Linked DNA regions of Notamacropus eugenii. Each later gene encodes a partner of the first gene's protein in a complex. Links are inferred from orthologs where the notes say so. Each region holds a gene or a part of one and is shown in the gene's direction. Other genes may lie near its edges.

The links.
Region 2: SF3B2 (region 1) and CWC27 share a complex: the UniProt entries of both Homo sapiens proteins name them as parts of the minor spliceosome. The link is inferred for Notamacropus eugenii from reciprocal best matches to the Homo sapiens genes SF3B2 and CWC27.
Region 3: SF3B2 (region 1) and CWC22 share a complex: the UniProt entries of both Homo sapiens proteins name them as parts of the minor spliceosome. The link is inferred for Notamacropus eugenii from reciprocal best matches to the Homo sapiens genes SF3B2 and CWC22.
Region 4: SF3B2 (region 1) and SF3A1 share a complex: the UniProt entries of both Homo sapiens proteins name them as parts of the 17S U2 SnRNP complex. The link is inferred for Notamacropus eugenii from reciprocal best matches to the Homo sapiens genes SF3B2 and SF3A1.

The regions. Positions count from the first base shown.
Region 1 is NC_092873.1:18,740,114-18,747,758, forward strand, and holds the start of SF3B2 (splicing factor 3B subunit 2), read left to right. Parts: upstream 1-4,643; 5' UTR 4,644-4,658; coding exon 4,659-4,815; intron 4,816-7,645. UniProt on the Homo sapiens protein: Component of the 17S U2 SnRNP complex of the spliceosome, a large ribonucleoprotein complex that removes introns from transcribed pre-mRNAs.
Region 2 is NC_092875.1:319,598,751-319,606,139, forward strand, and holds the start of CWC27 (spliceosome-associated protein CWC27 homolog), read left to right. Parts: upstream 1-4,386; 5' UTR 4,387-4,574; coding exon 4,575-4,616; exon of another isoform or gene 4,617-5,080; intron 5,081-7,389. Other genes in the region: protein SREK1IP1, read right to left, coding at 3,880-3,892. UniProt on the Homo sapiens protein: As part of the spliceosome, plays a role in pre-mRNA splicing. Probable inactive PPIase with no peptidyl-prolyl cis-trans isomerase activity. As a component of the minor spliceosome, involved in the splicing of U12-type introns in pre-mRNAs.
Region 3 is NC_092876.1:243,434,604-243,441,751, reverse strand, and holds the start of CWC22 (pre-mRNA-splicing factor CWC22 homolog), read left to right. Parts: upstream 1-4,132; 5' UTR 4,133-4,320; exon of another isoform or gene 4,321-4,609; intron 4,610-7,148. UniProt on the Homo sapiens protein: Required for pre-mRNA splicing as component of the spliceosome. As a component of the minor spliceosome, involved in the splicing of U12-type introns in pre-mRNAs. Promotes exon-junction complex (EJC) assembly.
Region 4 is NC_092875.1:15,043,437-15,051,159, forward strand, and holds the start of SF3A1 (splicing factor 3A subunit 1), read left to right. Parts: upstream 1-4,708; 5' UTR 4,709-4,778; coding exon 4,779-4,841; intron 4,842-7,723. Other genes in the region: CCDC157 (coiled-coil domain-containing protein 157), read right to left, coding at 1,106-1,277, 3,422-3,670, 4,445-4,578. UniProt on the Homo sapiens protein: Component of the 17S U2 SnRNP complex of the spliceosome, a large ribonucleoprotein complex that removes introns from transcribed pre-mRNAs.

The DNA.
Region 1 (7,645 bases):
CTCCTCTTCCTCTTTCTCCACTCAATTTCGGTCCTGGAAGAGGTACGTAGCCTGCATCCTTGATCCTGGCCATTTCCCTGCCTTCGATCTCTAGCAGTGCTGGTCTTAGGGGCTGCTTCCCAGACCTTAGCTTTGCCCTCTGGTAGAGAGACCCTATGGTCTTTGAGGGCAGCTAGGCCCTTCAGAGAGTCTGTTGACCCAGCATTGGGGACAGCTGCCCTTCATCGCCCTTGAGTGGTTGGCAGAGTCCCTGTCTTTATCAGTATTTCCCTCTGCCTGGTGTGGGCAGAGAGCCTGGAACTAGAGGCTGGGCACAGAACTGAGTCTACGGAGGGCCCTGAAATGGGTGGACCCAGGCCATGCCCACAGAGGTACCCAATCAGGAGTGGAATTCCATGACAGCTCTTGTTAGGACCACAGAGGAATTATCAGAGAAGAGAAAATGATGTGAAGTTCTTGAGTTTCTGTCACATCTTAAGCTCTGGCAGCTGTCCCCACCCCACCCTCATCCCCATTGTACTGCCAGGCCTCAGTTTCTCCAGCTCTAGGCTGTATATTTTGCTCCTACTATCTGGATTCCCAGGGAGGCTCAGGTTACCCGGAGCTGGGACATATCTTCAAGAAAGGAACCGGTTATGCCTGAGCTCAACTTGATAACAAGGGGAGGGGCCCAGGATCAACTCCCTGCCTGTCTCCCTTAGGTCTGGCTTCTCCCCTTCCCTGCCCCCCACCCAGCTTTTGAAATCTCAGTCCTGAGAAATGCCCCGAGAGGGAAAAGCATTACCTATGGGATGAAAGCATAGGATTCAGAGATGGAAGACATCTCAGAGATCATCCAGCCGAAACCTCTCATTTTACAGATGAGGAAGCTGAGGACAAGGTGACAGAGAAAATGAGAGGCAGAGCACATATTCCAAACCCAGTCCTGGGACTACAAGTTCACACTCTTCCCATTACATTGGCATTCAGAGCCAGTGGGGAAGAAGGTAAATGCAATTCTCACAAGTCATTCTTGGAGGGGGACAGAGGTAGGTATGTGCTGGGTCATTGTAGGAAACACCTAATGGCACTCACAATCTGCCTCCCAGATGGCTCCCATGGATGTTTGGCATAGCAGGGAAAACCTTGGGTCTGGGTTCTGATCTTGTCCGTGTCATGTTTGGACTTACTGCTGGTAGAAACTTGACTGGTGACCCCACCTTTCTGACCTCAGTTTCCCCATCTGTAAAAGTGAGGGGTTTGGGCTAGACTATGCCTGAAGTCTCTACCAGCTCTCACTGCTATCATCCAGATAAGGCGGTGGCTGCTGTGTGGAGGACTTGCAGGAACGGGGAGGCTGGGCCTAGGGAGAAGAGAAGGGCCATTGTTCAGAGGGCCATCTCAGGCAAGGCCTGGGTGGGGCTGGAAAGGGTGGGCACCAGAGCTGGGCTCTGAGGGGGGACAGGACAGCACAGGTCGAGCCAGGGCAGACCAGAATAGAGCTGGTCTCAGTGTCCATGCTTCACAGCTCTCCCTGGAGGGTCTGGCTTTGGCCCTATCTCCTTTCAGCTCCTGAATGTGCCTGGCCCAGGAAGAGTGGGGCAGGCTCAGACAGCTCCCCACAGACAATTGAGAGCAGTGTTGTCCTGAATCAACTCTTCCTGCCCTCCCCTCTGGTGCCCGCCTTGGGAATTTCTCCACTTCCTTCTCTCTAGGGACCTAGGAGTCTGGCCCTCCTATCACGAGGAGTCTGGCAGGCTCACAGCCAGGGACACTGCGCTACCAGTGGGACTTGGAGGAAGTCACTGCTTTTCTCTGGCCTCAGTTTGCTTCTCTGTTTGGTAAGAACAGCAGGTCATCTATGGAAGCTCATATGCTACAGCAGTCTGTAGATGGCATAAGGATGCCTGAGCCCCAAGGTCCCACAGCTTGTGTTGGAAGGCAGCTCCCTCCTTTCTCCTTCCCTCTTTCCATCTTTCCTTCCTCCCTCCTTTTCCCTTCTCCCTTCTTCCCTTCCTGGAAGGAGCAAGCAAAGTAGGATTTTTTTGCTGTTTTTTTGGATTGAGTTGTAGCCAATCAAATGCTTTTGATTGAATCCGGAGTCTTTGGAAACAGCATATAACTAATTCACTCACTTAGTATTGAATTGCTTGGAGGGAGAAGAGAGAGGAGAGAGAGGAACAGACCCGAGAGAGAGAAGCAAGTGGGAGCAGACCAGGGGAACAGAAAGAGTGTTTGCGATGTCCTCACTCCCTCTCTTGATCCGTGTTAATTTCTCAGACAGAAGCCCTGTCCTGTTGGTCTTTATGAGTGAATTGAGCTGAAGAGCTGAGATCTGCCCATGGAAGGAGGCTTAGCTTAAGCCCCTTTTAAGAGCTGTTAAGGTGAATTGAGATGATGGGGTTGGTAATGTGTATAAATATACATTGTCATAGCCTTGTTAAACATTGTTTTCCTAGAAACAGAAGCTGCAGGAAGGAGCCCCTGGAGCCAGCTGTCAGGCAGAAGCAGGAAGAGTTAGGAGTGGAACAGTTCCCATGAGCTGAGGCAAGGAGCAGGAGCAGAGAGCTTCCTATGTGTGAACCCAGGCAAGAGCTGGGAGTGGTCCGTGCCCACAGAGGAGGAGCCACAGGGTTTGGAGGTCAGCCTTCAGTCAAGATGAGAGAGGACTTTACTTGAACACTGTGTATTGATTAAGGACACTGTGACCTGGGGGTGGATGCCTTGGTATTTTCTGTTATCCCTTAAGGGTGAGTCATACTAGGGAAGACCCTAGCCTGGGACCCCCGACTTTGGGGATGCAGCGATATGCTCTGTGTCATGACATACCGACTGTTAGGAGATACATACATACATATATATATAGTAGACGATATGTTTTGTTTAACGACCTTTCTATGCTTTACTCTATTGTGTTAACCTGAAAACTTGGTTAAAGAAAAACATCAGACTAAAGGCATGCGTTATTAATTAATTAATTAATTCCCTCTTAAAGATAACAGTCATAGCACTATGGAGTCAGAGGTGACTCTGACTATCTAGTACAGAAATCATCTGTCTTAAGTACATTTTGCCATGAGAAAGAAACTCTCCTAATTAAGCAAATCATAAATTCAGTAAGACAGGACAATTAACAAAGCAATGTTAGTCAGGCCTTGAGATTCCAAGCTGGGTAAGCATATGTCTCGGTGATAAGGAAAGAAACCCCACCACTAGTAAGTGGGAGGCTTCCTCCCTTAAACAGATAATTGACATAGGAAAGGGTAAACAATGTTCAATAGAAATTACGACCTAAGATGTCTATTTTTTCTTTATCATTAATATGCCATAACATAGTATATGTCTATAGATCAAAGGAAAGTCCCATTATTCATAACATAGTATGTATGTGTCTATAGATCATAAGATTCAAGGAAAGTCCCATTATTCAAGATATAGTGTCTTAGGTTAAAGGTCTCCTTAAGGAATGTAGAGTCGCCTTGGCTGGCTTTTGCTGACATAGGAAAAGGCACTCTCTGAGTTTACTTCAGAGAGAACAAAGAGATTACTCCAAAATTTTATATTAAACATTATCAATTGAACAGTTTACTTCATCGCTGAGTAAATAGTTCACTAAACTATGATTTCACAGCTTAAGTCCTGAGGCGCTGTTGTGACTGATGTTACATCCCCTCCCTCTTTCCATAACCTGGGCTCGGTTCAATGGAATCACCTTCGAGGGGCCTTTGGATCAAGTTCAGTTTGCCCAGAGAGAGGGGAAGGGCTCCCCCCTCTTCCTTCTCTTGGACCCCGCCTCGGGGCAGCGGCCGAAGGCGGTCTCCAGCGGGGCTGGGGTGCCGGAGCCACGATTGCTGGGGGGAGCCCGGGAAGCCGGGGTGCCTCCGGTCCCTCCCCCCCATTTGTGGGCATTGTACTTGTTGAAGTAGATCTGTATGTAAACGCTCGTCTGCGGGGCTGACGGAAGGGGGTGCGGGCCCCCCGACAACCACGCAGTCAGCGCTTGCTGCCTCGGCGAGCACGATCCGGGAAGATGCTGAGCGCTGCTGGACAGAGCGCCTCGTGGCGCCTCCGCGCAACTACCACCTCCTGCCGGGAGGGGCCGCTGTGGATCAGAGTTACCGACCAGGCCCCCCTCCCCCGCCCAGGCAAACCCGGGGGAAGTGACTTGCCCAGGGTCACAGGGCAGGTCTGAGGATGATTCGAATCTGCCTCCAGGCCTCCCGACCATGGGCCTCAATGTCCTCATCTGTCCAGCTCTAGGGTCCCATGACGCTGTCTGGCGTGATACTCCACACCCCTGGTCCCTCACTTCTCCCCAGAAAGGAGAAGCAACAGCCCAGTTCTGACAATGGCTCTTGGAAACGGTGGGGAACTACATTTCCCATGGGGCAGCGGGACCGCTTCTTGGCAACGGCTTGACGTAGGGGCCCGTCTTCTCTTCCCCTGGTTTCGATCCACAACTCCCAGAAGGCTTAGCCACGAACCAGACCCCTTTCCGCATGCGCCTCGCGGATTTCCCCGACTACGCTTCCCGGCGTGCTCCACGAAGCCGCCCTCCCTCTCTGCATTTCTATTGGCTGTTCCCATCCCGTAGGCTCGGCTCCTATTGGTCGCCTCCGGAAGTTCCGGCAGGCCGTAGCTCTTCAGTCCCCTGGGCCGCGCGCCTTCTCGCCGCTAAGATGGCGGCGGAACATCCCGAAGCGCCTAAAGGTGAGCTTCAGCTGCCGCCGCCTCCGCCGCCGCCCCCCCCGCCGCCCCCGCCGCCGGCCCCCTACGGCGCCTGGGCCGCGCCCGAGCTGCAGGCCAAGCTGGCGGAAATTGGAGCCCCCATCCAAGGTGAGCCTTCCGGCGCCGAGGCCCGTGAGCCTCGCGAGGAGGCCTGGGGCCCGCGGGGGAGCTGAGGAGACCTCGGGGCTGGGGGGCGTGGTGGGGAAATCGAGGCGGGGGAGCCCCCATCTCTGGATCGGGGCCCAGGGGAGGTGGGGGGGGAGCTTCGGGGAGAGTTCAGTTAAACGCTTCTGGCGGGCCTCGGCCCAAGCCCGGAGCCCCCTAGTGTCCCGGGTCCGAGGGGGCAGGGGGATGGGCCGTGTGGTGCGTTCGGGGGACCGTCCCCCGAAGAGGCTCATGGGATCGGTGGGCGGAGAGGAGGGGGTCCATGGCCAGGCCCTCTTGCGAGCCCCGGGGTGGGGGGCCGATCCCGGGGAGCCGGGGGTGGAGGGAGAGTCGGCAGGATTGGGGGTATCCCTCCCCCAGGGCTGCGCTCTGGGGTCTGAATGCTCCCGGCCCTGTTTGTGCGGGGAGCGGGACCGGATAAGAAATGGGTGCCGAGTCCTGCGGGAACACCACCGGCCGGGCCTCCTGTACTCCCCACTTGTCCTGGTTCCCGGGGCGAGCGAGAGCGTTATAAGGAGCCCTGGCAGACATCCACAAAGCCGGACACCCGGGCAGAGGGTTCAGAAGAGAGGCAGATTTGGGAAGGAAACCCCTGGATTCAGATCCAACCCGACGGACGCTCACTGGCTGTGTGACCCTGGCCAAGTCACTTAACCTCTGCCTGCCTCAATTTCCTTACCTGCAAAATAGGGATCCTAACAGCACCTACTTGGCAGGGCTGTTGTGAGGACCGGAGCGCCCACTCAGTGCCGGGCACACAGTAGGTTCCCCATATAAGAAAAGCAGGCTCTCAGCACTTAACAAGGATTACTGATAGGAATGTATCCACCTGGAAACCTGCAGATCTAATTCAAAGAACTCCTAAGTCGAAAAGGATGGGGAAGGCCGAACCTGTCCATAGAGAGCCGTGGCCACACCTGGACTTGGCCAGTGATCCAGTCTGTGCCCTCAGATCTCTCTACAGAAACGTCTAATGTTGGCATAGCAAGTAAGATGAGCTGGGTGCTGCAGTGGAGAGACTTACCCGACCTGGAGTCAGGCCTCAGACACCTACAGCTGTGAGCCTGGGCGGTCATTTATCCTTTGTTGGTCTCTGTTTCCTCTTCTGTGAGATGAGAATCCTAATTCCATCTGCCTGCCAGGGTTGTGAGAGGTTTGCAGAACCTTTAAGCATTGTCTGCTTGTGGCTGTTGTTGGCATTGTGGCAGGTTTGACCTCAGCCTTGGTAGGATGGGACCTCATGACTGGCAGTATGGTTCAGAAGAGGCAGGCTAGGCCCAAAGCTAGCAGTGGTGGAGTGGCCTGATTGAGAAGGTAGACTCATGACTGGAAACCGAGAAACCGAGGGATGGGGAAGCCCAGAGTCAGGCAGGATATTGTCCGCAGAGTAGACAGCGCACGGGAGATCCATTTATTTGCATGTATTCTGGAGCATTGTTTTTTTTCTAGGAGCCAAACAGCTATTTGTTGCTTTGTGATAATACTACTCATCTAAAATAGACCAGTTTGTTTCTGGGTCAGATTTTTAGTAACGAGGAGGTTCACCCAATTTTGGGGGGTGGAAGTGATATGCTTGAGAGGAGGTGTCCAGTCCATCTTGGAACATGTATTTGAGATGGCAGGGACAGCCAAGGATGGTCTGCTGGGCACTCTGGGTCTGAGGAGGGCAGATTCTGGCATTGGGCATGCGTGGGAGATGCCACATCTGACAAATGGACTTCTGAGCCCCCAGAGAAGTCTTTTCTATGAGGAGCTGAAAGGGAAGTTGTGGGGTCAGTGGGGCCCTCTTAGAGGGACATCCACTGCCTGATTTAAGACAGTGGAAGCCCCCAGGGGACTGAGAAGAGCCACAGCACAGCAGGCGCCCGAGCTCAAAGCTGTGAGGCTGGTGAAACTCTTAAGTAAAAGTGATGGTGTTGGGGCAGACAGAGCAGTGATGACAGAGGAAGGAGACAGGGTGGATTTTGCTGCATTTGAAAAAAGATGGCCATTTTCCATATTGTAGGAAAAGCAGAAATCTGTTTTCTTAACTATGATACGATCAGAGGGCTTTGGGGCTGTCTGGCCAATCAGAAGCATCATGAAAGGTTCAGTCTCTTGGCACTGGAGCGCCAGGACAGTGATTCGGAGAGCCTAGCGGCTTGCACTTCTAATCACTGCCCAGGATCAAGGCAGAGATGGTGGGTGGTGCCAGTTTACAGGTGAGATTGCTGTAAAGAAGAGCCAGACTATCGAATGATCGTGGCAGGCCAGAGCGTTGGGCCGAATATGACGAGATGAAATTTAGTGGCGATAAATGTAAAATCGTAGCCCTGGATTCAGAAGAGCAGGTGCACCAAAACTGGATGAGGAATACATAAAAAAGGGCCTTGGGGCTTTGATGGGTTAGCTGGACGGTGTGGCAGCCCCAAGAGCCAGTGTGACTGCTGGGTCTTAATGAGAGGGGCAGCCTGCTTGCTGGGCTTTGTCTAGGTCAGGCTAAAGGAGAGGGTGCAAAGGAGGGCAGCCGGGAAGGGGAAGGCCTTCGAGTTCATGCACGTGAAGTCTGTTTGAAGAAGGTGGCCAAGGGGGTCATTGGGAGGAAGGACTGTTAGACTTCTTGACTGACCCCAGAGAGCAGAACCTGGAAGGTTCAAGAAACAAGTTTGGACTTGATGTGGGAGGTGTTGATTTGATTAATTGTTAGTTGATGAATTCTTCCTCATCTAAGGTAGATAAGAACTTACTTGTTGGGGATGTTCACATGGTCCTCTAGGGCTTCACATGTGGCTCT
Region 2 (7,389 bases), on another chromosome or scaffold:
TTGAGTGAGAGAGGGCTGTGCAGGTCACCAGCCTCATTTCTCCTCCAGAGCCATCTGAATGCAGTGACCAGATAGATATTCATCAGGATGACTGGAGATGACCCAGGATGAGGCAGTTGGGGTTAAGTGACTTGCCCAAGGTCACACAGTTAGTGAATGTCAAATGTCTGAGGTGAGAGATGAACTCAGGTCCTCCTCACTCCTGCACTGGTGCTCTATCCACTGCACCACCTAGCTGCCCTTCCAATAAAAATAACAAAACCATGAATAGCTGACATTCATATAATTTTAAAAAATACTTTACATCATTTAAGGTTCAACTAACTTTGTAAGGAAAGTATTTTGTTATGTCTGAAAGACACTGTTATCCCCTCCCTTTTAGAGATACTGAAAATGAAGCTTACAAGCTTAAATGACATGTCCCTTGGTGACCCAGCAAACAAACAGTGCATACTTGAAATTTCAGAAGTGCTTTTCAAATACAACAACCCTTTAAAGTGAGACACACCAATACGGTTGTCAGCATTTGAAAAGATGAGAATAGCTATGCTCCTATTAGTGACTTGCCCATGGTCATACAGAGAGTACATGCTGCAGCTTGGCACACTGGCCATCAAGCCCAGTTAATTTCATCTCTGCAATATCTTTTCACAACCATCTCCTCCTTTTTATTTTTTTTACATTAATTTATTTGTTTTCAGTTTTCTACAATCACTTCCATAACTCTTAAATTTTCTCCCCCTTCCTCACCCTCCTTCCCTGAGATGGCTTGCAATAGGTTCTACACATACATTCTTATTAAAAATATTTTTACATAAGTCATGGTGCATAGAAGGATTAAAATGAATGGGAGAAACCATGAGAAAAACTAAACCAAACCAAAACATAACACAAGAGAAAATAGTCTGCTTCATTCTGTGTTCCCATTCCATAGTTCTTTCTCTGGATGTGGATGGCATTTTGCCTCAAGAGTCCTTTGGGAATGTTTTAGGTCCTTGCATTGTTGTGAAGGGCTTAGTCTCCTTGCACACTGTAGCTGTTACTGTCTATAATGTTCTCCTGGTCCTGCTCATTTCACTCAGCATTAGTTCACATAAGTCTTTCCAGGTTTTTCTGAAGTCCGACTATTTGTCATTTCTTATAGCACAACAGCATTCCATTACATTCATATACCACAACTTGTTCAGCCATCCCCCAATTGATGGGCATTCCCTCAATTTCCAGTTCTTGGCTACCACATAAAGAATTGCTATTAATATTTTTGTACATGTGGGACCTTTTCCCATTTTTATGATACCTCCTCCTTTTTCTTCTGCACTACCATCCCCCTCACGTAGAAAATAATCACTATTCACGTGCACTACTGTAATAGTCTTCTACCGTCCAATGAATGCTTTCCTCCTCTGCTGAATTCCTCATTTGGAAATCAGGTCACATCACTTTTCTGCTAAAAAATCTACAATAGCCTTAATTTACTGCCTAGGCAAAGTTCAATCTCTTGTCTGGCATGTAAGGTACCCTCCAGTCTGGCATTACTACCGTCATACATCAACTATCTAGTTCAGGCCAAAGTGGCTATTCTGGGAATGTACCTTTAGGAATCTTTTTCATTAGTCCCAAAGGAATTCCCCTACCATTCTTTCGTCTACTGAATTCCTATCCATTATTTACAATTCAAATTAAAATGCCAACTCTTTCTCTGGGACCTCACGTAGCATTTTACATAAATCTCTAATGTACACATCATGTATAATTTTATATTATAATTTGTGTGTGTGTGTGTGTGTGTGTTATACTCTCCAGAAATACTAAGTACCAAGAATGTAGAATGATCCCTGACTTACCAAAATTCTACTTCCCCATATCCCTTGACAACGTAGATTTGGGGAGGCAGTTTATAGGATCATAGATTTAAAAATGAAAGTTATCTCAGATGCTATCTAGTCTAATCCTATTATTTTACAGGTAAGCAAACTGAGTTCCAGATACGTTAAGTGAGGTACCCAAGGTTATACAGGTATTAAAGAGGCAGAGAATTTAAGTGGGTCCTGACTCCATCTCCAAGCACTGTACCATGAAGTGGGCAATTAATACATGCCTATTGAATTGATTTGAGTGTATTCCCAGGAATGATACTTTAAAGTAGGTAGGACAAGTATTCACTTAGGAAACTGGCTCAGAGAAATTTTCATTCTTTAACCATGCCTCAATTTGGGGTAGGGATTCTTAACTTGGGATACAAAATAGACAAGAGGTCTGTGGAAAGATTTTAAGGAGACTGTGAATTTAGATGGGGGAAAAAGACTTCTTTTTAAAAACTAACCTCTAATTAAAATTGAGTATTTCTTTCAATTATTTAAAAACATTATTTAGGTGAGGGATCCATAGGTTTTACCCGACTGCCAAAGGGGTCCATGACCCAGGGGAAAAAAGGTTAAGAACTCCTGATTTAGGGCCATAGAATTTAGAGCTGGAAAGGGTCCTTAAAAACCACTTAGTGTATAACCTCTTTTAAAGGAGTCAACAGAGGCACGAAGAAATTAAGGGGACTGTGTCTTGCTCTCTGGTGGTGGTATGTAGAAAATATGTCACATCTAGATTAATTAAAATTAGGCTTTGGTTTCTAGACACTTTTCACTACACCACCCTGTCTCTGGAGTTTAACTTAATTAAAAAAAAGGCATTATTACTATTAAAAAACTTTTAAAAATATCACGCTTCCCCCATCTCTCCTACTCTCTCCCCCACAAACATCTGTGCACACACACCATGTATACATATATACATACCACATGCAGACATGAACGCACAACATATATACCTATAAACACACACCACATATACACTGTCCACAATACTGTCATATATGTAACACCACATACATACCACAAATATACTTTATACATTCGCACGCACATGCATGTACACCACATAAACATATACCCATGCATACAAAATACATCACATAACATATGCATACCACATGCATATACAGCATGCTTACACTCATACATGCACGCCACATATAACATAATCAGACACACATATATTCATAAACATATATTACATAAAATATGTATATACCATATATACACATATAAGCATACACATGTAAACACATACACACACCAGACATGACATACAACTACAAACATAATGTGTTTGTGTACACGCATGTGTATACATGTACGCAACACAAGCCACGTACATGTCTATATCCCACACTCTCAAGCCATATCACAGCACACATTTCGCCCACATAATACATGCTCGCACATGTACAATCACACACAATCATACTACATTCATATACGTATAAACATATACCACGCAAACGTAATCAAATACGCCACCCAATGACATGTGTGCTGTGTTGTATCCCACTCTTCATGACCTGTGAGGTGGTTCTCTTGGCAAAGATAGGCGAGGGGCTGGCCACTCCCCTCTCCAGTGGAGGTGATCTGTCTAGGGCCGCACAGCTAAGGAGTGTCTGAGGCCTCACATGAACCTCTAGGCACGGATCTACCTAGCTGCCTCCACCGCCTGGTACACACACCGCACATACACAATGACACAATCACACATGTGTTCGTACGCTACACACACATACAGACACCACACATACACACTCACGTACACGTGATCACATATGCACAATACACCACACACGTGTTCCCACTACATTCATACATGTAAGTACATCCCCCATATACACACTCACAGTCTACAATCACACCGCACACACACATACACAATCCACCACGGAAACCTGACCTCCCGCTCACGCTCTCCCTCGCCCAGGCCGCAGAGCTCCGAGCTCCCCCGCCACCTCCCTCCCGGCTCGCCTCCCCGTGCTCCGGCCGACCCCGGGGCAGTCACCTGGCAGGGCCATAGCCCGGGCGGAAGCAGCCTCTGGGCCTCAGCTGCCGTTGCCACCGCCGCCGCCGCCGCCGCCGCCGCCGCCTTCGCTCCCCGGACACCGCTTCCGGTGACTCCGGCTGCGCCGCGGGTTTCCCCTCTCCCGCCACAGCCTCCTCTTAGGGACCCGAGTCCCGAGGAAGACTACAGAACGCGGCAGTTTCAGCCGCAGTTCGCGGACGGAGGCATAAGACCGAGCACTGGTGGTCCAAACCATTTCTGACATATACATACACCGGGGGAGGGCGTTTAGGACTTGCCAATCGTTAACTAAAGATTGATTTAAAACAAAAGAAAGTTTCTTGCGAAGCTAGATAATTAAATGAATATTAACTTCAAGCGGATGCTCAGCGGGCTCTCTTCACTCTCTCCAGGAGAATTTCTGTAGGAGAAGGTCGAGGACACCCCTCCCCGCAGAGAGCGGTGCGCAGGGCCAGGTGCAGTATGGCGGCCGCCTGGGTCAGTTAGTGCCTTGTTAGGCTGTCGGAAGGGCAGGACCGGCAGTTGATGCCGTAGCTGAGGCCGCCTCTAGGAGCTGTCAGGACTGGCCCGCTGGGCTTTCCCTTCGCCGTGCAGCGCGGACGGTCAGACAGAGAGCCCTTGAGCCTCGTAAGGAGCCCGGCAGCGGATCTCCCCTCCCCCGACAGCCGTCCAGGATGAGCAACATTTACATCCAGGAGCCGCCCACCAACGGAAAGGTGAGAGCGCGCGCGGGCGCGGGGGAGCTTCCCCCTCGCTTCCCTGTTGGCGGGGTGCGCTGTGGAGAGCGCCGGCCGCACCTTGGAGTCGGGAGACCCGAGTTCGAATTCCCGCCCTGTCGTTTACGAGCCGTGCCGCCTTGGATCAGTCACTTACCTTCCCCGGGCCTTAGTTTCCTTGTCTTTAAAGTGAGGAAGCTGGACTAGATGACAGCTAAGGACATGGCAGATTCCATCCCCCATACTTGGGGAAGATTTGCAGTTGGACCCGACGCGAACTGGGTGCTCAGTTTTTCAAAACACACAGAGAGGGGAACTGTCTACTTTCTCCTCTTTCCCCCCAGCCTTCCTTCGACCTCAGAACTTTTGAAGCAGGGGACTCTTAACCCTCTTTTGTGTTCTGGACCCCTTTGCCGGTCTGGTGAAGTCTGTGGAACCTTTCTCAGAAGAATTTTGAATAATTGGTTAGTGAAAATAAGGATGTAATTTTTTTCCCATGCAAATTTACAGGAACCTCTTCCCCCCCACCCCCCCAAAATCTGTTTACATCCCCTAGGTAAAGAATCCTTGCATGAAAGGAAGCCCAGTCAAGTATTTATCATGAACCCACTATGATCCAAAATCCGGATTCTGGAATCTGGATTCAAAGGATCCCAAAGTGGGCGAAGCTGGAAGGATCCAGGCTCGGGGCAGGACTGGTGGTAGAAACCTTGGGTGCAGTTGGGAGAGCTTAATAAAAATAAGGGGCTGTGGAAGCACAAGGAAAGAAGAGAAGAAAATTTTGAAAAACTTTGTACATGTCTCATCTGTTGTGTAATGAAGTCAAAGTCCTTGTGAGTAAGTGATTTTCCAAATAAGCATACAAAGTGCAAGCTATAGCCCATCAGTGGTTAAGTCCAGGGGCAGGTCTTAAACAAGCAGATGTTGGCAAGTGAGGTTGCCCTGCATTGTCAGAAAGTCCAGAATATCAGCGGGAATCCCTGCAGGCCATGACTTTTTACAATAGGATACTATGTTCAAAATTTCAATGCAGTCAAAAACCCCACAAATTTATAATAAATTATTAGATTTAGCTTGTGTAATTTAAAAAAAATTTTTTTGAAATGATGCAAATTTTAAAAAACACTTTAAAGTGTTAAAGAAAACTTTCTTTGTAGATTTCCAGGGGTGTGCCAAGTAATGTTTTTTTGAAAAGGGTCCTTAAGCCAAATAAGTTTGGGAACCTCCTATCTAGATGCTGGAGATCCAGGTAGGGCCTTTGGTACCACCTAGTCCAAACCCTTCCTGTTGTAGATGTGGGAAGGGAGATGGAATGATGGGACTTGCTTAAGGTCACCTGGCTAGTAAGTGGTCAGCCAGCCAATAAGCATTTATTAAATGCCTACTACAACATTTATTAAACCCCTGTGACAAGTGCTGTGCTAAACGGGGATTCAAAAAGAGGGAGAACACAGTTCCTGCCATAAAGGAGCTCACAGTCTAATGGGGGAGACAACAAACAAACATGTACAAACAAGTTATATACAAGATAACTAGGATATAATTAAGAGAGATTTGGGGCACTAGAACTAAGAGGGGTTATGAAAGACTTTCAATGAAAGACGGGATTTCAATTAGAACTTAAAGGAAACCAGGAAAATTACTAGGCAGAGTTGAGGATGGAGAGCATTCCAGGCCTGGGGGACAGTCAGAGAAAATGTCCTGAGCTGGGAGATGCAGTATTTTGTTCCTGGAACAGCAAGGAGGCCAGTATCAGTGGATTGAAGAGGATGAGTACATTTCATAGAGTAAAGGCTTAAGAAGAGTAAAGGAGGGCTCTAGAATACGAAGGGTCAAACAGAGGATTTTTGTATTTGGTTCTGGAAGAGATAGGGACCCACAGGAGTTTTATCAAGAAAAACAGTCAGTAAACATTTATTAAGCACCTGCTTAATTGCCAGGTACTTTGCTAAGCACCAGGGATACCAAAAGGGTAAAAGAAAGTTCCAGGCCTCAAAAAGCTTATAATCTATGAGGTAGACCATATGCAAATCTATGCAAAGCAAGTTATATACTGGAGAAATAGAGATAATTGAAAGAGTGAAGTTTATTGAATAGACATGGTCGACCTTGCATTTTGGGAAAATCATTTTTGGTTGAATGGAGGGTGAATTGAGTGGGAGAGACTAGAAGCAGGCAGACCCACCTGCAGGCTATTTTCAGGGTTCACTTTAGAGTAATGACAGTGTCAGAGGAGAGAAAAGGGCATGTTTGAGAAATGTTGCTGCAGAGGTAAAATCAACAGGCCCCTGAGAAAAGATTGGAAATGGGGGTTGACAGTGAGTACAAGATAACTCCTAGGTTGTAAGCCTGAGGACTGGGAGGATGGCTTTGCCCTCTACAGTATTAGGAAAGGTAGGAGGAGGGGAGGGTTTAGGAAGTAAGATAATAAATTCCATTTTGAATATATTGAGTTTAAGATGTCTACAAGGTAGCTGAAGATGTGAGATTGGAGATCAGTAGAGAGACTGGGAAAAGAAGGGTAAATTTGAGAATCATTAGCTTTAAGGATGATAATTAAATAGATGAGATCTGATGAGATCAGCAAGTGAAGAAGTAGTATAGAGGGAAAAGAAAGCCCCAGGTAGAACCCTGAAGGATATCTGTGGTTGGAGGGCATGATCTTTGGGAAGATCCCACAAAAGAGACAGAGAAAGAGTGGTCAGATAGGTAGGAGGAGAATCAGGAGAGTCATATCCCAAAAACCTAGAGAGAAGAGAATATCAAGAAGAGG
Region 3 (7,148 bases), on another chromosome or scaffold:
TAATCACATTAAAATAATTAACAATATAAATACATATACTGTTCCCAGTTAAATAAACTCTTCTTTCTGTACTTTACTCCTAGTACAGACTCTTAGTTGATAAAGGCAAGATTAAATCAGACCACTTAACTATATCAAAATAAAAGCAGCAAAAAATCCTATTTTGCTTGCCATCACACAGATTTATCAGCCCCACTCTCTCTCGTCCAGAGCCTTCAACGTCCAGTGGTAAGACAAAAGTCAAGACAACTGGTAATGACCCAGGATGCAGTGGATGACCTTGGTGTTTTCAATGTCTAAACAGACTCTTAAGAACTTCATAGCATCTGCTTCAGCCACCTTCATGGCCCTTGGAACATATTGTTCCCATCCTCCCAAAAGTCTTCACATGATGGGGTAGACATCCCCCTAACTCACTGAAAGTTTTGAAGCCTGTTAGTTACCCTCAACCTGGTGTAACTTGTCTGCCAAGGCAGTTTTACCATGCTGTACCCACTGAGCATGCTAAAGTTTCTTCGAGCCACAGGTGAGAGTTGAGCAACAGATGAGCACCAAAATTGGGTGTGTGTGTGTGTGTCTGTGTGTCTGTGTGTCTGTGTGTCTGTGTCTGTGTGTGTGCAAGCAGCCCAAGATGATCACAGTTCTGCCCCTCACTGCCTACTCCATCCTTCTGGGCCTCTACCTATATAATGAGGTGATTGAACTAAATGACCTCCAGGGTCCTTTCTAGTTCTTAACCAGTGATCCTATGTGATTTTGACACAGGAAATATTGGTGGTAAGGGAGATACTTACATGTAGACTATTAGTCTAGACTAGAGTCACTCTTTAAAAGGTTAATGCACCTCCTAGTGTCTCTGAAAAAACTGAAGGTCACCCTTTAGTGATTCCCCATTTTACTTATACTGAATATAACAATGTCTGTTAGTGAATGGGGAGGAGGGAGCTCAGGTGAGATTTCTTTCTACTTTCTGATAATAGCTATTAAGTGTTGTACAGGGTGATATCATTTAAAAATAATAATTTTCTTTAAAAAGTCTAGAATCCTTCTTCAGGAATGACTGAGATGAAAATTAAAAGAATGGGATCAATAAACTGAAGAAGAGCTAAGGAAGAAAAATGCCAGATTAATTTGCATTTTTACAAAGTGCCCAGGCTAGTTACTTCTATTAAGGTTACGTTAAAACTTTGCAACTTTTACTTTTTTATTTTAAAACTCCTTTAGTGTCTTTAATAAGGAAAATGTTTACTTCAAGAGAATGAGGATAAGAAAGAAATTGTAAACCTGCATCCCCTTCCTTAGTAGATCTGATTAGGCAAGAGCCTAATGATGGCCAGAAGATGGCCAGTTAAGTTGGGTTTTACCAGCTAGATGCCCTGCATTACCTTGCCTTTTTCTAAACCTTAAACCTACTGCACCCTGAAGTTCATACATTGGACGACACTAGGCCTCTGCCTAAGGGCTCTCTTCTGGACCCTCACGGCTTAAGAGTAGTCAATAGTAACCGTTGCTGTTTCCCTACCAGCCTGAGGTTGTTTTTTTTTTCTACGCCTCATTAAAGGGGTCATCCCAGGTTACTTTAAGAGGCCGATTCACTGAATGGGTGTTACCTCACCCTAAGTGAGTTCCTGAAAAGACTTTGGCACAGTCAAGTACAAGTTATGTCATCATTTCTCTGATGGCATGATCTTCTTCGGCAACGAAGGATGAACGCAGCAACAACAGATCTAATTGAAAGGAACCTAGAATAAAAAGAGGAGAGGGAGATAGTAATTACCAAGGGAAAGCAGACAGACACAGAGAGAAAGAGACTGAGACAGAAGCTTTTGGGGAACCAACCTATAACCCAAAAGATTTAACAATCACAGCAGAGCCTTGGGGCATAACCACATCTTTATATGTGCTTCAGAAAATTAATAGCAGGTGGAATCTATAAATATTTTATTAATTTAATGGGGATGATAACCAGGGTTGTTATGAAAATCAAATAAGATACTATCTGTAAAGCATTACATTAATGTTAGCTATTATTATTATTCTATTCTATTAACTTCATATCTGAGTATATCCTTTGATCTCCTTCACCCTCACTCAATGATCCAACCTATGTAACAAAGTATCTTAAAGAGAAAAAGGAGCTCAGCAAAACTAACCAACACATTGACCTAGAATGAGAAAATGTACAATCTTCTACAACCATGGTTGCCAACCTCAACAATGAAGGAAAGAAGGTACATTTTTAAAGTTCCTCTCTCGAGTCAAGGTTGGTCATTACACCATTGTTTTTGTTATTGTTGTTCTTTTCATTTATATTGCTATTGTTTTACATATTGTTTTTCATTACTTCTGTTTACTCTGCATTAGTCAAAGTCATCCCAAGCTTCTCTGAATTCTTTATATTCACCATTTCTGGTACAAAGTAATACTCCACTTATACTATGTTACTATATAACAGTTTGTGTAGCCATTCACTAATTGGACAGCTACTTTGTTTCTAGTTCTTTGCTATTACAAAACATGTTCCCACAACTCTTTTTATGTATATAGGATATTTCTTTCTATCCTTTATTTTCTGGTGGATATATGCCTAACAGTGATATATCCTTGTTATATGTATTTAGTCACTTTTTAAACATAATACCAAATTGCTTTCCCAAATGGTTGGACTAATTCATAGTTCTAAAAACAGTATATTGTTATTATCTTTAAATAGTTCTTCAACATTATCTGTGCTTATCTTTTGTCATCCTTGCCAACGTGCTGGGTATGAGGTGAAACCTGTGGACTGTTTGGATTTGAATTTATTACTAGTGATGTGAATTAATACTTCATATGTTTAACAGCTTACAATTCCTCTGAAAATTTTTGTTCATATCCATTGATCATTTATTTATTGGGGAATTAAAGCTAGGTCTTAAATATTTGTGTTTGCTTCCTATATATCTTGAATGCTGCATCTTGATCACAAATATTAGAGGCAAAGATTTTTACCCAGACAAAAGCTTCTTTGTTAACCCTGTTGCATTGATTTGTTAGTTTAAAAGCTTTTCAATATTATATAATCAAAATAATCTCATCTTTTAAGATCATTTCTATCCCTTGGTTCAGAACTCTTCCCCTAGCCACAGATGTTCTCTTCTTCTAGAGTGTGAGTGTGTGTGTGTGTGTGTGTGTGTGTGTGAGAGAGAGAGAGAGAGAGAGAGAGAGAGAGAGAGAGAGAGAGAGAGAGAGAGAGAGAGATTGATTTAATATTTAGGTTGGTATCCATATTGAGCTTATTTTGTAATATTTTGTAAGATGTTGGTCTACATTTCATTTCTGCCAAAGTAATTTCCAGTTCCGAACAGTAACTCGCTTGGGTTTTTATCAATTACCATTCCAAATTAATTAATTTTTGATTCATTCTTATCTAGTTTTTCCACCGATTTTTTTAATTTTAACTACTAACTACTAAATACTAACAACTTCTAACTTTTAACTACTACTTTACCTTCTACCTTTAAGTGTATTTGGATGATAATACTTTATGGTATAGTCTGAGACCTCAAAATGCTGTTTCTCCCTTCATTCACTATTACCCTTGAGCAGCTTTCTTTTTACACAAAAAAACAGGGTTTTCTCTATTTAAATTGTGGCTTTCAAATTTGCAAAGCACTTTACTTACATGATCTCATTTGAGAAAAGCCTAAGATGGTTGTTCCCATTTTTCGGGAAATAAAGGTTAAAATAAGCGGCATGCCCAGGGTGGTCCCGCAAATAAAGTCGGAGGCAGCATCTGAACAAACCTTCCCGACTTCTAGCAAACCTAGTCTAGCCATAACCCAGGCAGCTCAATACCTTTTTGTCGCGTGTTCCTGTAAAGGCAGAATTCTGCAGCTTTATAGGCTTTGTAACTCCTGAAGGCACAGGGAGCAAATACACTATCGGGCATTTCCAGGGTTTTCCTGCAGGAGTATCCCGGACAACTTAATAACCTTCTCAATCACGGTAAGACAGCTTTAAAGCTGAGCACCCGAGCACAGTTCTCACACAATCGTGAGTACCTCTAGAGGTAACAAGGGGAACTCGGATTCCCAGAGAGCATTGCGGCCCCGGCCGTACTACAACGTCCACTATGCACTGCGCGAACCCTCCCCTCTACGTGGGTGTACGCTGGAGCTTGTAGTTTTTTTGAACACTTCCCTAGTGACCATCTTGGCGAAGTAGAAATTTCGGTGGTTTGGGAGTGGTCGGCTTCTCTAGATGGTATCGAGATTTGGGATTATTTTAAAACAAGAAAAAATCCAGCTCTGGAAATACCGACGGCTTCTCCGTATCCAGGTTTTGAAATCAATTATCATTCACTTCCTCTCCACAGCCACCCAGCCGCCCCAAACCTCGAGTTAGGGCGGGGCCAGAGGAACCGGAAGTTGCGTGGTGGAGCATTATGGTGGCGCAGTGGAGCTCCAGGTATTTGCTGAACGCGTTTGCGAGGAATGGCGGAGCGGAGCGGGCGTGGGGCTGGGGAAGAGGGGCGCGGGGCTTCCGCATGTGGCTGCTTTGATGTACAGAGGAGGTCTGGGCAGAGCTGGCGCCCCTCGACGTGGGGCCTGCCCCTGCCTCTTGGCGGGTACGCCCCGGAGTGGAGGGATGGGGTCGCTGCCGGAGCCCTGTCCCCACGCGTGGGGATCGGGGAGGTGGGGGGGGGGGGCTCTGGGCGGTTAGAGGTGACCCCCCCCCCCCCCGACGTTTCTTAGGCGTCTGTGAGTACACAGCGCTGAGCCACAATGCCGGCACCTAGGAAGCGCTGAAGTATTTCTCTCCTAGTCCGTTCCTCTCCTCCTTTTTACCTTTACCTCGTCTTCCCTTTCCTCTTTTCCCCCTTTCCTCCCCTAATCCCCCATGTTCATTTTCCTTCCCCTCCTTCCTCTCCATTCCCCTCTAGCCTTCCCCTCTCTTGACCTGAAAGTTTGGTTAAAAAAGGCAAGCAGCCTGAATACATATGGTTTATTCCCTTAGAACTTGGGGTTCCATGACTGTGGAGCCGGAAAAGTCAGTCCCTAATTCTAATACAAGAATGACCAGGCTTCAGTCTGTTTTAGGACGTCCAGGCGTGTCTGTGTCCCTCAGATCTACGGTCTCTATGTGGGTTTAATCATTCCATGAGAAAGGAATTTTCTTAATTGAATGGATTGTAGATACAATAAGGTAACAGAGTTGACAAAGTTTCAACTGAAATTGACTCGACATCTGAGTTTTCTTCACCATTAACATACCATAACATAGTATATGTCCACAAAACATTAAAAATGTGGAAAAAAGCCCTATTATTCAAGACAGCGTCTTGGGTTAATAGTCTCATAAAGTATACTAAGTTAGCCCCATCTGGTCTTGCTGACATAAGAAGAGGTATTCTCTGAGTTTACTTTAGAGAACAAAGAGACTGTTAGGTCCAGGCTCTTCTGACTGATTAATTCAAGCTCTGGCCCTTATTAAAGTCCAAAAATGATAGTAAATGTTATCACCCTCTCTCCTCCTTTCTCCACTACTTCTCCCCCCTTTCTTTTCTTCTCTCCATTCCATATCTTCTCTCTCCATCCCCTGCTCCCCTTCTCTCCCTCTCTGCCCACCTCTCTCTGCTTTCTTCTTTTCTCATCCTACTCTCTCCTCTCTTCCACCTTTGTCTCTCCTTTTACTGTAGTAAGAGGGAGAAGTGAGGCTGGTGACCTGCACAGCCCTCTCTCACTCAAAACAAAATCAAGTGCAAGTCATGTCATTTCTCCGATGGCATGGTTTTCTTCAGCAAGGAAGGATGAACACAATCCTGTGAGTAGATGCAGCTGGCTGGATGGGGGGACCCAGCTAGCTGAGTAACTCAACTCCTCTCCTGTCTGCCTCCCTTCCCCTTTCTTCTCCTCTCCAAAGGAAGATAAATTTGGATGGCCAAAAGATGCCCAATTGACTTGGGTTTTATTGGCCCCTGTTCCAGCCTGTCCTGTCTTCTCCTGTCCTGTGACATTAAAACTACTGCACACTGAAGCTGGGATGCCTATGGACCCCTGCCCAAGGGCTCCTCTGGATCCTTCTAGCTTTGGAGTGATTATCAATAATAACTGTTGCTGTTTCCCACCCAACCTGCTGTCTTTGTTTTCTTGATCTCATTAAAGGGACCATGCTCTGGCTACTTCTTAAACGGGCCTATTCAATGAATGGGCATTGCCTCACCCTAAGTGAGTACCTGAATAGACCTTGGCCTAAAGGGGCCAAGGTCTCCCATTGCATTCTGGGTCATCTCCAGTCATCCTGGTGAATATCCGGTCACTGGATTCAGATGGCTCTGGAGGAGAAGTGAGGCTGGTGACCTGCACAGCCCTCCCTCCCTCAAAGTCAAGTGCAAGCCATGTCATCATTTGTCTGATGGCATGGTCTTTTTCGGCAACAAAGAACGAACACAATCCTATGAGTGTCAAAATATGTGTTCATTCAGTTTAGGTCTTAACAAGTTCTTGATAACATTACCTCTTCAACCTTAGCCACAAATGTTTCTGTGTAAGCTTTGATTATCAAGTTGCTCTGTTTTAAAAATTAATTTTTAAAAAATAATTATTGATGCCTTTTGTGTTTTATAACAGTCTCATTTCTGGAGAGAACAAACACTGCCTGCCCTACCTCTATTGAAGCTTCCCTTTTAACAAAGAAAAGCAACTAATATGGTTACCATAATCTAACAGCTTCTTTATCTATTCTCCAATACTGTCATTGGTTTTTCAGTTACTTAAAGTTTGGTTTCATTTTAAAGATCTTCATTTTGTATTCTTTTGGTTCTCCCTATTTCATTGAATTAGTTCGTACAAATCTACCATGTTTCTGTGAATTCTTCCTTTTTGTCATTTCTATAAAGGATGACAGCACTGAGGGCCATTTTATATTTTTCTTTGTTTAGTGGCTGTGTTCCAAGTCATCACCAAGTGACAAGCTTCTCTGTATTTAGTTAGGCTGATCTTCAAAAAGTAAACACAGTGTGTGGCATGGACCAAACTAAGGATTGGAAAATCCTGCTCAAACCTAATCTTAAACTAGTATTTCTGTGACTACTTTAAAATATTCTTGTGCAGGAAGGTGCAGGTGTAGTCTTGCTGAGTTGGTTGCTTGTGACAGGATAACAGACT
Region 4 (7,723 bases), on another chromosome or scaffold:
GACACAAATAAGAGGACAAATAGATAAACCAAAATAACTATAAAAACGATAAATAAAAATGAAAAGTTAGTTCTTTGAAAATACTCGTAAAACTGATAAGCCTTTAGTCAATCTGACTAAAAAGGGGGTAGAAAATCAAATCCAGAAAATTGTAAACTAGCACTGTGAAATCACAGCGAAACCAGAAGAAATAAAAAGAGTGATCAGAACCTGTTATACACAATCATACGCTAACAAAAGTGGAAATACAATAGCCATGGGGAAAAACTTCAAAAATGTAAAATAAACATCGGAGAAAAGATAAAATTGAGATCTTAAATAGCTCAAAACAGATATACCTGTAAAGGAACTACCAAAGAAAAAATACTCTTGGTCCTGATTGTGTGCATTTATCCTTCACTGCCGAAGAAGACTGTGCCATCAGAGAAATGATGACGTGACTTGCACTTGACTTTGTTTTTTTGAGTGAGGGAGGGCTGTGCAGATCACCAGCCTCACTTCTCCTCCAGAGTCATCTGAATCCAGTGACCAGATATTCATCAGGATGACTGGAGATGCCCCAGAATGAGGCAATTGGGGTTAAGTGACTTGCCCAAGGTCACACAGCTAGTGAGTGTCAAGTGTCTGAGGTGAGATTTGAACTCAGGTCCTCCTGACTCCTGCACTGGTGCTCTATCCACTGCACCACCTAGCTGGACAAATTTAGCCTTAATACCTAAACCAGAGAAGGATAAAGCACAGAAGAAGAGCGATAACCAATATAAATAAATGGGGGAGTCTATGAGACATAATGGAATATTACTGTGCTACAAGAAATAACGTATGTGAGCATATGAAGAGACATGGAATGATCCACATGAATTAATGCAGAGTGAGGTCAGCTGAGCCAAGAAAACAGTATACACATTTACTGTAATGCAAATGAAAATGACAACCAAACACCAAAAAAATCAGAAGTGAATTTTGCAAAATACAAGAAACAAACTTGGCTCCAAAGCAAGAAACGAGAGAAGACCCCCTGCCCTGGCAGAGGGGGAAGCTGTCAGCCACTCCTGTTGTCTGGAGGTCACATGCCCAAGGGCTACTCTGGGAGAGCCATCCCTACCTTAGTCAGCGATTGCCGGTAGAGCTCTCCCAGTTTCAGTGTGCTGGTCCAGTACTTGCGCACAGTGAGCCCAATGGACATGCAGGGCCCCACCTCACGGGAGACGGGGATCAGCTCATTGCTGGTGATGTTGTCCGTGTAGCTGGTAAAACTCTGGAGAAGCAAAAGAAGCCTGGGGGACAAAGAGACTCAGACTGAGGGCCCAGAGCCAGACAGGCCAGAGAGGGCTCGAAAGCCTCCACCTGGGGAGGATGCTCCTGGTCACCCAGTTTGTCAGTGGTCTTGGAAACCAAGGCACCCTGGGGAGCTCACAAAGCTCTATAGGCATGTTGGCCAGCACATTGGACAGTACTCTTAAGTACCCTGACATAAAAGAGGACATGTCACTTGGCCCTTTGGCAGGTTTTCTTTTTCTTTCGGAGCAGGGAAGGCAAGTCAGTTGGGGTTAAATGACTTGCCCAAGGTCACACAGCTAGTAAGTGTCAAGTGTCTGAGGCTGGATTTGAACTCAAGGTCCTACTGAGTCCAGGGCTGGTGCTGTATCCACTGTGCCACCTAGATGCCCCTGGTAGGTTTTCTTTTGCCAAATTCAAAGCTCACTGGCTCTCTGAGTGGCCGCCAGACTGTCCAGAGCTTGGACTCTGAGTTTTCTTGCTTTTTAAACTTGTGGGCTTTTTGTGTGTCCTGACTGAGTTAAGCAGCTGAGGCCCCCAAAGGGGCAGTGACTTACCCAGGTCCCACTACTGATAAGCAGCAAAGTCAGGACTGCAGCCGGGAGGCTCATGCCCTACCTTGCACCCAGGCCATCCCAGCACCTTTGGGGCCCATTTCCTCTTTGGAGGAGCAGAGCTGCCAGAGGCTCCAGAGGCATCTACTCAGCCTAGAAGAGCACACACCCCACCTTCCATAACATTCTGAAGGTCTTCCAGCTCCCACGAGGCAGCATGGTAGGACTGTGCATGGTGCTAGATTTGGAGTCTGAAGACCAGAGTCTGAATCATGCCTGGGACACTTACTGACCGTGGACTTAACCTCCCTCAGCCTCAGTTTCCTCATCTGTAAGATGGAACTATAATTGTAAGGATCAAATGAGATAACATTCCTGGAAAAACAGGCTTTTAAAAAGCCTGTGTTTCAATGTAATGGAGTACTATTGTGCCATAAGAAATGATGAACAAAAAGATTTCAAAAAGGCCTGGAAAGACTTATATGATCTGATGCTGAGTGAAAGGAGCAGAACCAGAAGAACTTTGTGCACAGCAACGACCACAGTGTGCGAGAGTTTTTTCTGGTAGACTTGGAATTTCGTAATAATGCAAGAACTTATTAAAAAAAAAAATCCCAATGGTGGTTTTCTAAGGCAAAATGCCTTCCACACTCAGAGAAAGAAATATGGAAGTCATTCGCAGAATGTAGCAGATCATGTTTGTGTGTGTGTGTGTTTTTGTGTATCATGTTTTGATTTGTTATATGATTTCTTCCATTTATTTTAGTTCGACTACATAGCATGACTATAGTGAAAATGTACTCAATAGGAAAGTATATGTAGAACCTATACAGAATTGTATGCTGTCGTGGGGAAGGAGGGAGGTAGTGGGAGGTAGGTGTTGGGGGGATAAAATCTTAATTTTATGGCAGTGATTGTAAAACATTAAAAAATAATAATAAAATAAAATTTAAAAAAGAAAAAAAAAAGCCTGTGTTTCAAATGGAGCTATCTGACTTGTCACTCAGGTTTCACTGAATGGCCAATAAGAGCCCCCAGCCAGCCAGTTCTTGAGTTCTAGAATGAGTGTGCATGGCAATTATTTTCTGTTCTGGCTAGAAACTCTGAGGGTCTTCCCCTTCCAGACTGATGTTTCTGTGATGGTAAATTCAGCCATCTTTTGTCACAGTTCTTATCCAGCCCTTCATCAGATTGGGTGTGCCTCAGACAAACTGAGGCCTGAGAAAGACCTTCATTTAGAAAGGCCAAGGTTACCCCCTGCACCTCAGGCCATCCTGAGCGTCTGGGCCTATGTTGTGCCGCTGGACTTTCCATGACTCAGAAGGGAGTAAGGCTGAACACTTAGCTGGCTCTGCCTCACTGAAATCCAGTTCTCAGAGTTAAGACATCACCCTCAGGATGTCATCAGTCCTGAACTGCAGATCTCTATATAAATGCTGTTGTGGCTCTGAAGGTGGGGGCTCCCCTAGCACTCTAGCTCTGGACAGCTCCCAGCCTTGGAAAGTCAAGCGGATACCTGCTTCCCTGCCCGCAGCCCCTGCCCTCCGGGCACCCGCTCCAACCCCGGGGCACCCTGGCTTGCCCCTCACCTGTCAATCACCAGCTCCAGGAGCACCACATGGGAAAGCTGGGTGAACTCCGGGTTCCCTTCCTCGTGGTCATAGTGCTCCAAGAGGGACACCAAGTCCAGGTCGCACGACACTTTGTCGGGGAATTTCCAGGAGGGGAAGCGCACGGCCCCGGCTCGAGAGAACACGTCCACGATGGCTCCTTGCAGGTCTGTGATGTCCTTCCTCAAGCTGTCCATGCAGCTTTGGTTCCCCAGCAGATGGGCCATCCTGCAGGCCAGAAGATGCCCTGGGCGGAGGCAGGACAAGCGCCACCTCCTGCCTCCCGGCGCCCTGGGCCTCGGTTTCCCAGGTTTTAATTCGGAACCCACACGTCTTCATGTCCCTCCAGCTGAGCTCTTGGGTGGGACCCCGGAGGGGAGGGAGGGGATGCTTTCTGGGCACGTGGGCAGACACCTGTGCTCGGCTCGTTCTAGGGCGCCCTGGCGGGGGGGGTGTCTCAGGCTCCCCCCCATGTGCCCGGCCCCACCGCTCCCGATCTGAAGCCCAGCCCTGAGCCTCGGAAAGGTGACGGAGGGCTAGGAGGTCCGGCCAGTCCCTGACCAGGCCGAGCTGCTCTCCGGTGCTCTTGGTCTTCCCTTCGTACCCACGACCCCAGTCCCTAGCCTGGGGCCCGACACCCGGGGGGGGCGAGGGGACGGGGGGGCGGAGCTTGACATGAGCCCCTGGAAGGTAAGGAGCCTTACCTGGGAATAGGGCTGTGGAAGGGGGGGAGGGAGCAGGGCGGGGCTCCTGCGACAGGAGGGGTGCTCCCCGAGGTGGGAGGGGCCCAGGGATGCGGACAATAATGGCGGGGTTCCTCCAGGAAGGCAGGTGCTCCCTGAGGTAGGAGGATGGGCTCCCCAGGGGAGGTGGGAGGGGCGATCCCAGGGATGGGGGGGAGATGAGGGGCGGGGCCAGAGTGGGGGCAGTGAAAAGGCCGGGCCCAGGCGGGCTGGGCACCCCGGGGCAGGATGGGACCCCGAGACGTCAGTCCGAGCTCACCTGCCCCCAGCAGCGCCGCTGCAGCTCTTGGAACTATTCCCGCAGCTCCCGCCCCCGGAGCCCCGGCCTCGACTTCTCAGGTCCGCAGCCGCTCCCAGCCGAGTAACTGAGGTCTCCCGCCTGGCCGTCTCCATGGCAACGGCGTCTCCACGTCCGGCGTGCGCGGGGGGAAGGGAGAAGCGCCCCCGGAAGGCGAGGGGCGGGACCGGAAGCGCGTCTCCCCGCCTCCATCAAGGCGGTCCGCCGCCATCTTGTGAGCGCCCGGCTCGGCCCTGTCGTAGCGGCCGCTCGCGCCCGGACCGCCGTTGGAGCCGCCGCCCCCAGCGCCGCAGACATGCCGGCCGGACCGGTGCAGGCGGTGCCGCCGCCGCCGCCCGTTGCCACGGAGCCCAAGCAGGTAGGCGGTTGGCGGGCCCCTCTGGGCCTTGTCCGCTGATGGGAGGGAAGGGGAGAGGAACTGGAGGCTTTGGGGCCTCCATGGCAGAGAGGGAGACGGACTACAGCTCCCAGGAGGCTTCGCGCTGGCCGCGCCGCGCGGCCACCTGGGAGCCGGACGAGGGCGCTCTAGGCCCGTGGTCCTGCTGCCATGGAGCCCCAGCGTGGCCTGAGCGCCCCCGCCGGCGGCCGCGTGTGCAGAGCGGCGGGAGCCTGCTCGTCCCCGGGGCGGGCTCGTGGTGAGGAGCCCCCTGAGCGCTGGGCCCATCCCAGACTCTCGGTGACCCCTCCTGGGGTTGTCTTGCCGCAGATCCCGGAGGGATCTCCATTTACAGATGGGGAAACGGAGGCAGGCAGGGTGAAGGACGAGTGTCACTGCCCCCCCCCCTGCCCGCGGGCCCCTCCCCCAAAGGCAGACACGTGGAGAGACGGGGGAGGGGCCGGGAAAGGGAAAGGCAGACACGAACCCCGCGATGGAGCCTCATTAATCCTAACCAATTAATCATGATTAATGATGATCACGTAGCCCTTTCCCACTTGTGACCTCACCGCACGCGTGGGCCGAGAAGTCGGGACGGCTCGTGGATTCGTGCTCGGGAGTGGGCCCAGAGTTTCTTCTCGAGACTGTGAGCTGTTGGGGGGCAGACGCCGCCCCCCTTTGTGCCCAGAGCCTAGCACGCAGGAGGTGCTCAGTGATCCATCCGGCACCTGCCCGGGGGCGTCCAGGATAAAGCGCCTTCCGCCAGCCCGCCTTCCTGAAGTTTTTAAATTGTGAGTTCGTTATCAGTAAGCAGTTGAAGGTCCAGAACAAGGAAGGTTACGCCAGAAGTTGTGCCGTGGTTCCGTGGTCCCGAGAGGCGTGCTGGGCCATCGCACCGCTCCTGATGAGTCCCAGGAGGAGAGGGTGAGGCTGGTGCCGCCCTCGAGTCACCGGCAAGCGCCAGTCATGTCGTCCCCCGGGCGTCACGGCCTTCTGCAGGAAGGAAGGACGGACGGACGGACGCAGTAAGGGATGTGTGCAGAGTTAGCCAGGCAGTGCCAGGAGCGCTGGCTCGGGGCCCCTCACGCTTGGAGTGCGTTGGAGCGTCCAAGTGCTCCAGTGCCTGGAGCGAGCTGTCTGATCGGTGCACGAGCCCAGCGCCCTCCTGTAACACGCTGGGATAGCACGTGCTGCCTCCCGGACCGGTGCCTCTGTGAAGGGGCTCTGCTGTTTCCTAGCCTCCCTTGAAGGTTCCGAGGGGGAGATGGCCTGCCACCTCTTCCCAGAATGCCTTCCGGGGAGGGGGAGAGAGAGAGAGAAAGGGTGTGTGCTCATGCTGAGTACTCCATAGCCACCCGAACACGGGAACAAAACAGCCCCTGTCCTCAAGGAACGGAATTCTGTCAGGGAAAACAATGTTCCCATCCAGCTAGATCTTTGTGTGTATTTTCACATCTGGTTATCACTGCATGAATTGTTCCACTCCCCTGTGAAAGCTCTTTTAGGGCAGAAACTTTGATTTTTCTCTTCATGGCCCCAGTGCTCAGCACCAAATCCCCAGAAAATGTCTGTTGAGTTGAATTTACATTGTTGACCCGTCCTGTCCTGCTCTCTGTGACCCCATGATTATAACACACCGGGCTCTTCTTTCCTACTCTCTCTCAAAGACTAAGGTCATGTGTGTTGCTTCCGTGACACTATCCCTTTCATCTTCTGCCACTCCCTTTTCCTTTTGCTTCAGTCTTTCCCAACATCAGAGTCTTTTCCCACGAGTCCTGGCTTTTCATCATGTGGCCAGACTATTTAAGCTTCAGCCTCAGTATTTGACCTTCCCGTGCGTAGCCTGAATTAATTTCTTTAAGGGACTGATTTGGCCTCCTTGATGTCCAAGGGACTCTCAGAACTCTTCTCCAGCTCCACGATTCAAAGTGTCAGTTCTGTAGTACTCTTGTAGTTCCTCTCACAGCCATATGCTACTACTGGAAAAGCCATAGCTCTGACTATGCCAACGTCATATCTGTGCTTTTACTCTGCTGTCCAGGTTTGTCATATCTTTCCTTCCAGTGAACAAGCATCTTTTAATTTCATGGTTGCAGTAAGTCAAAAAAACCCGACCCAGCCTGTTGGTAAAGCCTGACATGTGCTAATGGATTCCCCACCTCTAATATCCCTCACCCACCCCCACCCCTGCCTGCCTTTCAGCCAGCAGTGGGGGGTTCTGTTTCCCCATCAGTCCTCTGAAGACAAGTTTAGTCATTGCAGGCATCTGAATTCTGCCTCCTAATGTTGTCTTTATATTCTGGTGGTCCTTTGTGTCTTGCCTGCCAAGAGGAGGAGCTGTCTAAGCCGAACTCTATGTCTGCCAGGGCCTGCTTATTTAGCATGGCATCCTCCACAGCCCTGCTCAGCGGGCACCAGATGTTCATTGAATGTTGTAATTGAGTCCCTGGGGGTAAGAATGCTTGGGAACACATCTTGTGAGGCCAGCACTACACCTCAAAACAAAAAAAAACACTGTGTCTCTTGGGGTGAGGGATGAAAGAGAACAAAGCCTTACAGAGGCATCTTCCACTGTTCTGGGGCCCATTCTCCCTCATCTTTGCTGACTGAAATGGCCTCCCCACTTCACTCTGGCTTCCTTGGCAGCTTCTTCTGCCATCCCTCACCTGGCTGCTTTGCACAGACTCTTGTTTTACCTCAACGTGGTATCACCCCAGGGCATGGCCACTACAAATGTTTAATATACTAAGGCCTCCTTGGGGCACTTCCCTGAAGACTCTGGTTTTAAGAGAGCCCTAATGAGCCAGTCTGGGCTCTTTCCTGCCCTCATCCCCTATGGAACTTCCGTGGTGATGAGGATAATG